3 linked regions of the Danio rerio genome follow. The protein of the gene in region 2 binds, or shares a complex with, the protein of the main gene of each other region. Links are inferred from orthologs where the notes say so. Each region holds a gene or a part of one and is shown on either strand. Other genes may lie near its edges.

What was found.
Region 1: cmc1 (region 2) and smim20 share a complex: the UniProt entries of both Homo sapiens proteins name them as parts of the MITRAC (mitochondrial translation regulation assembly intermediate of cytochrome c oxidase complex) complex. The link is inferred for Danio rerio from reciprocal best matches to the Homo sapiens genes CMC1 and SMIM20.
Region 3: cmc1 (region 2) and timm21 share a complex: the UniProt entries of both Homo sapiens proteins name them as parts of the MITRAC (mitochondrial translation regulation assembly intermediate of cytochrome c oxidase complex) complex. The link is inferred for Danio rerio from reciprocal best matches to the Homo sapiens genes CMC1 and TIMM21.

Annotation. Positions count from the first base shown.
Region 1 is NC_133182.1:65,051,052-65,055,136, reverse strand, and holds the start of smim20 (small integral membrane protein 20), read right to left. Parts: upstream 2,840-4,085; 5' UTR 2,783-2,839; coding exon 2,674-2,782; intron 1-2,673.
Region 2 is NC_133191.1:59,066,903-59,071,342, forward strand, and holds the start of cmc1 (COX assembly mitochondrial protein homolog), read right to left. Parts: upstream 2,857-4,440; 5' UTR 2,726-2,856; coding exon 2,707-2,725; intron 1-2,706. UniProt on the Homo sapiens protein: Component of the MITRAC (mitochondrial translation regulation assembly intermediate of cytochrome c oxidase complex) complex, that regulates cytochrome c oxidase assembly.
Region 3 is NC_133199.1:17,611,287-17,615,462, reverse strand, and holds the start of timm21 (mitochondrial import inner membrane translocase subunit Tim21), read right to left. Parts: upstream 2,899-4,176; 5' UTR 2,760-2,898; coding exon 2,477-2,759; intron 1-2,476. UniProt on the Homo sapiens protein: Participates in the translocation of transit peptide-containing proteins across the mitochondrial inner membrane.

The sequences.
Region 1 (4,085 bases), on a different chromosome or scaffold from region 2:
CTAAATTGATTGAGTATTAACTTCTATTCAACCTAATGTGTTTCTGTTCATAAAAACTTTAAGTTTAATGCCTATTTATAAATATTATGTCTACTCCCCCTTACTTCTGTAAAGAGTTTTTGTATGAATGGAAGATAATGTTAAGGGATATATTCATTCATTTTCTTTCGGCTCAGTCTTTTTATTATCTGGGATCTCCACAGCGAAATCAACCACCAACTTATCCAGCACCTGTTTCACGCAGTGGATGACCTTCCAGCTGCAACCCATCCCTGGGAAAGGAAAGGGATATATTACTCTGTTATTATCATGAGGAACTGTGTAATGGTTTTTAGTTCTCTTTCCTTGATTTTATTAAGATGGATTGTTGGTGATTGGATGGATGTTTGCCCGATTGTGTAGCTTTAATTGGACAGAGGAAAATTAAGATCAGTTTAAAATGATTTAAGACCTACAACACAATATTCCAGTGAATATGACTTTTTAAGGCCTTCAATTTTGTTTTAGAAATTTAAGACTTTTTAAGACTCCGCAGATACACTGAAAAACTGCACTGTAAAAAAATGCAAAATGCTGGAATCCACGCAATTCCCAACACAAATCAATTAAGTTAACTTAACACATAATAAAAATCCCCTACACTCAGAGTTTCAGCTCCTTCCATCTAGTCGTTGGTTTCTTGTAACAAGCTGTAGAAGTAAACGATACTTGTATATCAGAATCAGAAAAAGCTTTACTGCCAGGTGTGTTCACACGTGCTTTCCTGACAGAGCTTTCTACAGTGCAACAGAATTACAAAGACAGGACAAAAAAACAGATAAAAAAATGTATTTTAAAAATAGAAGTAGAAAGTGAATGCAAATATACAAATTGACAAGTGTGTGTACATGTGTATTATTATATACGTTATATGTGCAGCTGTTATGTGTAAATTGGCATGTAAAGTATGTTGCTAAATAAGTGTATATGTGGATTAAAAGTGTATAGCTATAGCAAGTAGTGATGTTTTTTCTTTTCATAATTATGAGATGGATTGCCTGAGGGAAGAATCTGTTATTGTGTTGGGCTGTTCTGGTGCACAGTGCTCGGTAGCGTCGACCAGAAGGTAAAAATTCAAAGAGGCAGTGTGCTGGGTGTGAGGGGTCCAGAGTGATTTTGGCTCTTGAAATAATTATTTATTTATTCTTTTTTTTTTTTTTTTTAAAGAGTGTACGTTTTGTACGTTTATGTTTTATGTCTATTTGTTGTTGTCACTATGTGAGTTTTTTAGTGTGGCACTGCTATGAAATGAGGACTCTTGACTGCAAACCAAATCTACCTTTGGGTATAAGTAACCTAACCTAATATACATACAACATGTCTCATTCAAGAGAGCTCTGCATTGTATGTAATTCAACGTAGAATAAAATCAGCATCATAATATGTGTACATTCCTTAAAACACTGAAATATTATTTCTATAATTTACATCAGATTATAACGACTGTTCAACCTGATTATCCCAATAATACGTTTTTTAAATGTATTTTTAAAGTTCTTTTTTATCATACAAGAAAGAACAATACAAAGATACAGTATGAACAAAGAAACAAAAAGGGTTACATGACTAAAATTCCAGCAAAATAAACAAGTTTAAAAGAGTTTTACATGTAATATAATAGTCCTTTCTGAAAATAAAAAGTAAGGATGTTTTTTTTTTTATTTACATTTATGAATGTAAAATTTAGCCAAAAAAAGCAATAAATTAATAATAAATTTACAAAGAGAAGGATCTACATTCAGAAAGTAACCAAAGAAAAACATTTTGGGGAAATACAGAAATTTGGAAATAAGATTTTTTTTAATGAAATCGAAAAAGTCAACCCAAAACACTTGACAGGAAGTGCACTCCCAAAATAAATTATTTAGTGTTTCATTATATTGAGTACAAAATGCATAAAGGGAAAATATTGTTATTATATTTAGCTAGTTTTGGTATTTATTGGATGGCAATTATGAATTATTTTGATTGAGACTTTAACAGCTTTATTAGATGAAAATAAATTTATAAGATAAGATTCTGACAGTATGATAACCTTGAATAAAATATGACAGTTTCACGGTTCTACGGTAATACTGTATATGGTATTGTGATTACTGATCTAAAATGTATTTTTTTTTAAATATCTGGGTAAAAATAAAACATTTTCCCCCACTTTAAACACAATATATTTTATTTGGAGAAACAGTTAAAATTGTTTAGAACAGTTAACATGTGAGGCTAAATAATTCAAATGAATCATTGACTTATGTGGTCTTCAATTGATTTAAAAACACTAACTTTTTAACCATTTAAAATGACATCGTTGGATATCGTTTCTGCTGGAGATACTGTTGTCATAAAAAAGAAATGTAAATAAAAAATCGTACACATACCTTAGAAACGGTAAGTTATATAAGAAAATGTTGACAATTTTAAAATCTTAACTTTTGCAAACCGCGCTATACCTTGAAAACCGTTAACAGTTATTTTCCCATGCCTAACGTTAATCCCAATCTATGTCACCAAATATATTATTCCAATACGATTAATAAGTTACAAAATGCAGGGTAATCGAATGTGACGTTATGACATAAGTTAAGTTTAGGCTGTGTCACGGTGACTTCATGTGTAGTAGTGATATTAAACACTTACTGTAGTCTTCAGAGTGTGTGAGAGGATGAAAAAATATAGGATAAAAAGCTGCAGCAACAGCTGCAACGAAGCCTCCAAATATGAGCGTTATCCTCTTAGAACTGGACATGATTTTGACAGTTTCACCTCACTCGAGGACGCAAACACACTCAAGTTGTTCCGGGGTGAAGTTCACGTTAGAAATAAAAAGTTTAAAGTCTGTTCTTAACTAAAATATATTATGCATACTTCAAGCGCAAAATTAGGGTTATTATAATGTTAATGAATATTTACAGAAGTATGATATTGTACTCATAAAAATAGAAGTATTTCATATGATCATGTCAGTGTTATAATTGATAGTGCGGCTTTTATTTTGCCCGGTGTTGTCCCGTCATGCATTGTGTATGTGTGTAGTGTTGCTGTGTCAGTGTGTGTAGTGATCGCCGTCTCTCAGCTGTAAAAATGTCCGGCAGTAACTCATACAGACTGCGCTCTTCTCTCCCGGCGCACGACATGGATGTCCGGGGTCTTGCCGCTGTCGCCTTCCCGGACGGAGCGTTCGTGTCGGTGTCCAGAGACCGGACCGCGCGGGTGTGGGTACCAAACCCAAGGTACTCCAGCTCCAGCTTCCTCCTGTTGTGTCTCACACCGGCTTTACATTTGTTTTTGTCGTATACTAAGCCGTTTGGTTCGTAGTTTACAGAGTTGTTTAGCTGTACCGTACGTTGGTATATTAAGCACACTATCATTCACTTTCATCTGAGACGAAACTAAAAGGCTATCATTTCCTGACAGTGACGGATCTAAAACACTCCACTAATGAGCGTTAAAGCAATAGTAACGGTATATCCAAAATTAAAATGAAATGATTTACTCGCATTCTTCTTGTTGTTATCAAACTGTATGTTCCCTTCTATCCGTGGAACTGTTTTGACATCGTTACCATTTACTTCTTTTAACAAACAATGAAACTGAATGAACACTGAGAGTCATTCTGCCTTTTGTGCTCCACAGAAGAGTCAAGCACTGTTAACACATTTTGTGTGAAAACTATGTTTTTATAATTCTCTAACGTCATAAATTGAGTTCCGTTCTTTTTATGTGAAGCTTTATTACTTATTTATTGGTATCCATCACTGCCAGACTGTGCCAGTGCATTAGAGCTGAGCGTTGCTGTTTACTTAGAGAATGTAGGTTACATTTAGAAACACAAAGGCATAAATAACTGCGTTAAAATGAAGATAACGTTTAAACCAACATTAATTTAGAATCAATGGTTTAAAAAGGTGTATGTAGCAAATTAAAATCCAAATTAAGAAAATATTTGGTGATTTTATTCGGCAAAAGTGCATTATATTGGTTCAAATGAACAATGTATGTATTGTATAAAGAATTAGTTATTTTAAATGACTGCTTTTATTCCCTAAATT
Region 2 (4,440 bases):
ACATACACTACTGACAATTTTAGCCTACCCAATTCCCCTATAGCGCATGTGTTTAGACTGTGGGGGAAACCCACGCCAACATGACAACTGACAACCTGTGAGTTTAAACTTGAACTCTGAGTTGATTTACCGAGAGGTTAAAAACTCAGCCCAGGTGTCAGAAACTCTTGTATGATCAGTGAAATCACTCTGGGTAAACTTTAGTCAAATATAATTCTACCTTTGTTCATATCTCAGACACCTTTGGGCCTGAATGCTGTTAATAAACACGTTTCTGTTCATCTGTTGAACCAAACACTACATCATCAGACTGTGAGCACTTCCATCATCTGAAAGAGAATGACGATGGGTTTCCCATAACCCTTTTACAGGAATATTTTAAACAACAAAGTGGATTTTCCATAACTTTTCACAGTAATTCTGCTAATACAGTGGTTCACTTTTTTCACCAAATACCACCTCAGAAAAAAAGTGTCTCTCCATATACCACAATAATGACCAGTACTAAAAATAGAGTAGCATAGTTGGCCAAATTAAGCAGCTACAGCACTGCACAGTTCCAAAACGAGAATCATATTCATATTTATACAATATTTGATAGATTTTGAAAGATATCTTGCATGCAGGGGCAAAGCAGTGGCGCAGTAGGTAGTGCTGTCGCCTCACAGCAAGAAGGTCGCTGGTTCGAGCCTCGGCTCAGTTGCCGTTTCTGCATGGAGTTTGCATGTTCTCCCTGCGTTCGCGTGGGTTTCCTCCGGGTGCTCCGGTTTCCCCCACAGTCCAAACACATGCGGTACAGGTGAATTGGGTAGGCTAAATTATCCGTAGTGTATGAGTGTGAGTGTGTGAATGTGTGTGTGGATGTTTCCCAGAGATGGGTTGCAGCTGGAAGGGCATCCGCTGTGTAAAAACTTGCTGGATAAGTTGGCGGTTCATTCCGCTGTGGCGACCCCGTATTAATAAAGGGACTAAGCCGACAAGAAAATGAATGAATGAATGTTGCATGCACATATGACATATTTGTAAAACTTTTTGAAATCTAAACATTAACCTGTATGTAGATTGGTGGGGAAAAGCTGACATAACATTGCTGCACTGTAAGTTTTATTTTTGGAGAAAATTAAAAAAGCACTGCAGTGTTTGGGTGTTCTGTGTTTGTCTGAGATAATCAGTCTATCAAAATGATATTCCATACGAAATATGAAGCTGATGAAGTGGGTTTTTGTCACGTGACTCGCCGTGCTGCATTCTGAAAAGTTAAGTTGTTTTTAACTAGGCACTCCTGGAATATGCAAGCGCATCGTGCTGCAATTCTTACTCATTTTGCTGGCTTGTGGGTTCAATTTTTGCCCCTCAAGTGACCATGATGTAACAAGAGAATACTGTAATTTTTCCAAATAAAAGATTTTTCAAAATAAATGATTATTCAGACTCACATAATGAATAAAACGGAAATAATTAATCATTTTTAGTGCAGCCTGGTACCAATTGATCTATAGACCAGTGCTGGTCTGTGGCCCGAGGGTTGGGGACCACTGCTCTAGCGCAGAGGTTCTCAAAGTGGGGGTCGGGACCCCCCGAGGGCTCGCGGGACAATGAAGGGGGGGTCGCCTGGTGATTTTTAAAAATCGATTAATTTTTATTAAACCTTAAGACTTACTGTATTTTATCAATAACTTACTGAAGAGAAAAAAATAGTCGTTTATAGTTACTATAAACTATATAGTTACTATAGTAGCTTATAGTTACTAGTTCTATTGGATTGCGACTTCTCGGGTAATTACATTATACTAAAGACACAACAATACTGTCAGATGCAGCAGATTTTGTAACACCAGGTTAAACTTTCTAGCCCATTTACAGCACTGACATACATAAAAAAACAAAGAATAGACTTGGGTCTATTGGTGTGTGTGTGTGCATCATTGCATACAAGGTTTCTGTATTTATAACCACCACCTCAGAGAATATTGGGGGTCACGAGTCTCTGGCATTGTCATTTTGGGGGTCGCGGGCTGAAAAGTTTGGGAAGCCCTGCTCTAGTGCATATCTGCTCTGCAAACACCACACACCTCCTTAGTTCTGCGTCAATTGGATTGATTTTTAGCAGCTGATGCACTAAAGTAAACATTTTAAGCACATCGCTTTTATCGTAGGCTTTAGAGAACAGCCAATTCTGATCAGATTGGAGTTATCGTACACATCATATGATTAAAATTGTATTTTTCTTTTATTACTCAGTGATTCCTCCGTGTACCACTGGAAGTAAGCCTGCGTTGTACACAGTTTGAGAACCACTGTGCTAATATATTGTTAAATAAATATGATGGTTTGATGGCTACATTTTGGACTGCATGTGATAGATCACTACAGGAACCACATTATTAGATTAAATATTAGCAGAAAGTGATTTACACATTAATGTATTGATGAGAAGCTGCTGCTGCTGATCAGACACACTATGGTTTAGTTGAAAATCAGGACAGTGTTATAAAATAAGTATGTTTTGATCTCATTATAGTGATTTATATTCAGAATAACTCCTGGTATGGCAGTCTGTCTCTACAGTAATGTGTGGATCAGTAAACTGGATTATATCGCTAGAGAAACTCCTGTCATTTCTGAGCAGTAAACACACTGTACTGTAGCTCAGCACACACACATTCACAACAAACAAGTCTGGCGGAAATGAAAGTCTTCCTCTACCTGCTTTAGGCGGATCCATGTACACTGAAGGTAATGATAATGTAGTATCTTTATTATTTAATATTACAAAACATCGGTGTGTGTATCCAATGTGACCCTGCGCGGCGTGTTTAGCTGGAAACTCACTCACTTCCGGTGACGCCGCTAGCGCTTCTGGTCAGTGTAGTTCTGAGAGCTCAAGCTGAACTACAAACCGGCTGAACTGAAGTTGTTTTGATTTTATTTTGAACAACTTGTGTAAACAGACGTAAATGGTTTAAATCAATACTAGTAAACACGATTTTGGCATTTTATAAATTGTGTGTTTTTAAATGTACTTTATTTATAAGCAGACAACCTGCTTACATGTATTCCTGTGATGGTCAGCATTATTTTAAGCATCATTATTTAAATTTGTATTAACATTCATTTTCTTTTCGGCTTAGTCTCTTTATTAATCAGGGGTCGCCACAGCGGAATGAACCGCCAACTTATCCAGCAAGTTTTTTTACGCAGCGGATGCCCTTCCAGCTGCAACCCAACACTGGGAAACACCCACACATTCTCTCTCTCACACACACACACACACACATACACACACTCACACACACTAATACACTATGGGCAATTTAGCCTTCCCAATTCCCCTATAGCGCATGTGTTTGGACTGTGGGGGAAACTGGAGCACCCGGAGGAAACCCCCACCAACACGGGGAGAACATGCAAACTCCACACAGAAACACCAACTGACCCAGCGACCTTCTTCCTGTGAGGCCATCGTGCTACCCACTGCGCCACCTTGATACAGGGTGAATTGGGTAGGCTAAATTGTCCGTAGTGTATGAGTTTTATTGAGAGTGTGTGAACGTTTCTCAGTGATGGGTTGCAGCTGGAAGGGTGTAAAACATATGCTGGATAAGTTGGCGGTTCATTCCACTGTGGCAATCCTGGATTAATAAAGGGACTAAGCCGAAAAGAAAATGAATGAATGAATGAATGGATGATACATGTGTGTGTGTGTGTGTGTGTGTGTGTGTGATACATCTTTGTTTCTTTTAGCATGAGAAATGGTGCAGACACAGTGTGTAAGTACATACTGCATGTGAGAGAAAAAGTGTGTGTGTGTTAGAGTGTGGATAAAAGAGTGAGAGTGTGTGTGTGTGTGTGTGTGTGTCTGACACATCTGTGTTTCTTTTAGCATGAGAAAAGGTGAAGACACAATGTGTGTGTGTGTGTGTGTGTGTGTGTCTGACACTGTCGGTGTTTCTCACACCTGCAGCAGTATCTGAGGACAGAGTGTCTCAAACAGCAGACCACAGACACACACACACACACACACAGATTTACCTGAAACACACACTGCTTCAGACACTCAGATCAATAAGTGTGTCTAATGTGTGCTCTTCATCTGTGTGTGTTAGTCTGATGTTAGTTTGTTTGTGAACGTTCAGAGAGCATCAAAACAACATTAATCAATCACAGCAGCAAAGATGAACACAGTCACTTCACAGCGTCCAGGGCAGCTGTATAAAAGGCTCAAATCATTACAATACTAATCTGGAAAAGATAAGGGGCCCTATCATACACCCGGCGCAATGCGGCGCAAGGCGCGGCGCAAATGCTATTTACTAGTTTCAGCTTGGCACAAGTGTTGTTTTGCAGCACGCTGTTTAAATAGCAAATGCATTAGCGCTCATATGTGCGCCCATAGGCGTTCTGGTTTAAAAAGGAAGGCGTTCTGAGGCGGACCGCTGG
Region 3 (4,176 bases), on a different chromosome or scaffold from region 2:
TCCTCAACTAACAATGATGGGCAGTCCTTTTGTATTTTTTTTAATCAAAACTGTACTGTTTACTTCACTATCAGTACTTTATTAAAGTTTTTTTTTTTATTTTAGAAAATGTTTACTTTTAATTACCACTACTACTACATTTGAGTCCAAAACATTGTACCAAATCGTACCGAATTATTCATTTTTAAACTGGACCAATCTGATTGCATCTGTTATTGGGTCAACAAATTCTGATTCAAATAAACCATTTAGATTGAGCATTTAGTAATACATTAACTGCATTTACTAACTAATTATAAAAATGAGTCAATGTTTCCAACATTCTTCTTTTCTTCATTTCTTCTTCTTTTATGGAAAAAAAAGGTTAACTCATTTAGAACAAGTCTAAGTGAGTAAATCATGACATAATTTCAATTTTTGGAAGTACCCTTTAAAAATTGAACAAAGTTACAATAACAGAAAAATAATGTTTTTTTTGTTGTTTGTTTGTTTTTACTGCTGAAGTACATTACAGATATAAAATTGTCAGTTACATAGCATTCTTCATAAAATGTTAACACATTTCTCCCTGTTACACCTTTTGTATATTGTATGTTTACAATGTATTTGGGCTATTATCACTATAAAGTGCCTTTGATGTCTCACATGATTGAATCAGTCCTATATGAACTTAATGCGAAATAATGAACTTCTGATGTTTTAATATAATTGGTAAAACCTTTACACACAAGCGGGTAGAATTAGAAGTGTTTTGAAATATGTCTGTCAAATTTTCCAATATTCTTTTACTGAATGAATGTGATTTTTCCATGTCCCACACACTACACAGCCAACTTCAGTGAATCTAAAAAGTAGGTAAATTAGATAAAATTGAAAAGATTAAAAAAAAAAACAAGTTAAGTCTTAAACAAGTTATTTGTTAAAATATGTCATTTTGATAACGTTTATTTTGTTTTCATAACATTATTAACCATTTTGCATTGGTCCTTAAAATTGTTGTCCACTCCATCATAATGTAGTAAATGCTCGAATAAGAAACCCTCTACAGAGGAGGTTAAAACATCTGCTGTTCGGCCTGTCACAATAATCAATATATTGACTTATCGTACAACACACAGACATGTTTTCAATCATTTTTGGTGATGCAACATATATCGCCCATACATGAAAAACTATTCTAGTTCTAGCCACATTGTAGCTGATTACGTTTATAATCTGTCAGTGTTAGTATGGTTAAAAAAAACACTATAGTATTTACTATTAATTATTATAGTATTAGTATATAGTATTAATATTATTATTTATTTGTTTAGGATATACGTTTTCTATGAAATTACAATACCTAATTATTAAATTGTTAAAATGACTATAATTAAATATTCTTAAGAATAAAATATTGTGTTCTTTGGAGGGGTGTACTTGCATTACGATGCTATTATAGTGTCAAAATGGTCTTAAAATAATGATAATATTGTTTATCGCAATAACATTTGTTGCTATATATCAAACCACAAAAAATAGATACCATGACAGGCCTATCTGCTGTGCACACAGTAAGTATCTAAACTAACTTTCGTTTCCTATTTTTCCCCATATTGTGTTTGAAACTGAATATTGTCAAGCTTAACATTTCCACCATGTCACAGTGAAATATGAATGAATAAAATAATAATAAAAAAAATTAAAAATCTGAAAAAAAAAAAATTAAGCTTTTAAACTGTGTACAAAGAGCATATTTAGGAGGCACTTTATCAGCTGCAGGTAAAACATGTGTTGAAGAAATGCTATCTTTAGCCAAACAATGTCCTGTCACAAATCATTTTCTTTTTTTATTGACACTTTATTTATTTAATAAAATGTATTTTTTTAATGTATTTATTTATTGTTAATTAGTTAGTTTTATGTAACAACTCTTATACACACATACTTTACCAGCAATATCTTTCTCAGTCTATATAAAGGATATCCTTCTAAAGTCCATATAAAGGAGCTCATTGACTGTTTGAAATAAAAATACATACCAATATCCACCCTGTAATCTTGTTTACCACTGTCATGTTAAACTTTTATGAAAATAAATGTCCATTATTCTATAGTTAAGAAATCACATAGGATTTTTTTGCTAGGTTTATAAATAATTTGTTTAAGTTTGAAAGTTTAACAAAATATTTTAGATATTGGGTTTTATTTTGAAAAAGTGCTGGAGCTTGACCAACATTTATTTCTAACAGCTAATGTCTAATTAATGCAACAACTATGTGGTTAAATCAAAAACCTTTTTAATGTCTCAAAGGCAATTTAACTTGATAATGACCCATTTATTAAGTTCTGTAATACTTAAGTATAGTGCATATGTATATAACCAATCTTTGGTTATATAACATGTAAAAAGTAAATAAACACCAGTAAGTACTTTAATCGTTACTTACTTAACATTTATAACACATTAAAATAAGTTTTAAACACGTAACGTTACCTTTCTGTGTTGCAGACCCTCTGGAAGGAGTGTGTGGACTTCTGGAGACTGACAGTTGATCGGTGTCCTTCTGCTCATCTTTCCTACTACACAAATAAACTCCTGTATAAAGCGAGCGAGTGTGATAAAATGCCCACTTTGAACAGGGGCAGTGGTTTGTCTGAAACACGGGATCTAGTGTCAGTAAAGATGATCTCGGTTGCTGTAATCTGACATGCACACGTTTTAATATGTGCTGCACACAATTTGTCGTCCTTCCAATTCTCAATACTAAAGAAGACATAATGAGTACAACAAATATATTGCTCTAAATAAAAGATATAACGTGCATAAATTTAAAGAACGTATTTTAATGACTTTCACATGTCTTGTCGTTTAACCAACACACTGAACTAGAAGTCATTATTTGTTGGCTTCACGCTATTTAGTTTTTTCATAATAAAAGCCTCAAATCAGAGTCCACGAATATAAAAGGATACCTCATCAATTAATTTACCATCAAACCTTCCAGGATATGACTTTTTTTTAAGTAGAACATAATATAATATATATAATTTAAGGATGAAGCAAATGACTGCCTGTGGAAGAAACTAAACATCATATTTGTCAAATTTTCTCACAGATGTTCAACAACATTTATTATTTTAAAGTTATGGCATCCTAAACATAATTTGTGTTGATTTGAATTGAAATAATTGTTGAGAAAATAAATATATCCTGTAATATAGGCTAACTTATTATAAGGCGATTTAGTTTATTGAACTGGAAGGCATTTGTTGTTGACTTCACACTTACTGTTTTTATTTTTTATTTTACAAATTAAAAGTCAACAAGTCTCCAAACTCTCCGAATTTCATCCTTGTTACACAAATTGTTCCCCATTGTTACACAAAACGTGTTCACGTCAATCGCCAATCTAGTTAAACCTTTAAATTGCACTTTAAGTTGAATACTATCTATATCTAGTAAAATATTATGTAGCTGCCATCATGGCAAATATAAAAAAAGATTAGTTATTAGAAATTAGTTATTATTATGTTTAGAAATGTGTTTTAAAAATGGGTAAAGAGAGGTTAGTAATTCAGGAGGGCTAATAATTCTCACTTCAAATATGCCCCAAATCCTGCTTTTGCAGCCATACAGCATCAATTTATCTTGGGAATGACCTTCAGATGTCCCGCAGAGTGGCCAGAAAGATTTTGAGCCAATTTTTTTACAGGATTGTGGCTAGGTCACTACATGATGCTGGTGGGGGGAAAAAAACCTTTCCTGATTCTCTAAAACACTTCAAAGTGGCTTAATAGTATTTAGTTCTGGTGACTGTGCAGGCCATGGGAGATGATCAACTTCATTTTCAAGTTCATCAAACCACTCTGTTACCGGTCTTGCTGTGTGTATTGGTGCATTATCATCCTGATATACAGCAACACCTTCAAGATACAGTGTTTGAACCGTTGGGTGCACACGGTCCTCCAAAATCGGGAGCCCTGGCAGTGACCTGCCCATCTAGCACACGCCATTAGGAAAGCCATGATATTACAGCCTAAACTATCACTGATTAGGCATGGGTCGATATAAGATTATGGTATGATAACCTTGGATATAAATATCACAGTATTACAGTATTGACATCACTGCTCTAATATGCTCTTCTTACATGTCTGGGTAAAAAAAAAAAAAAAAAAACCTTTTTTCCCTTT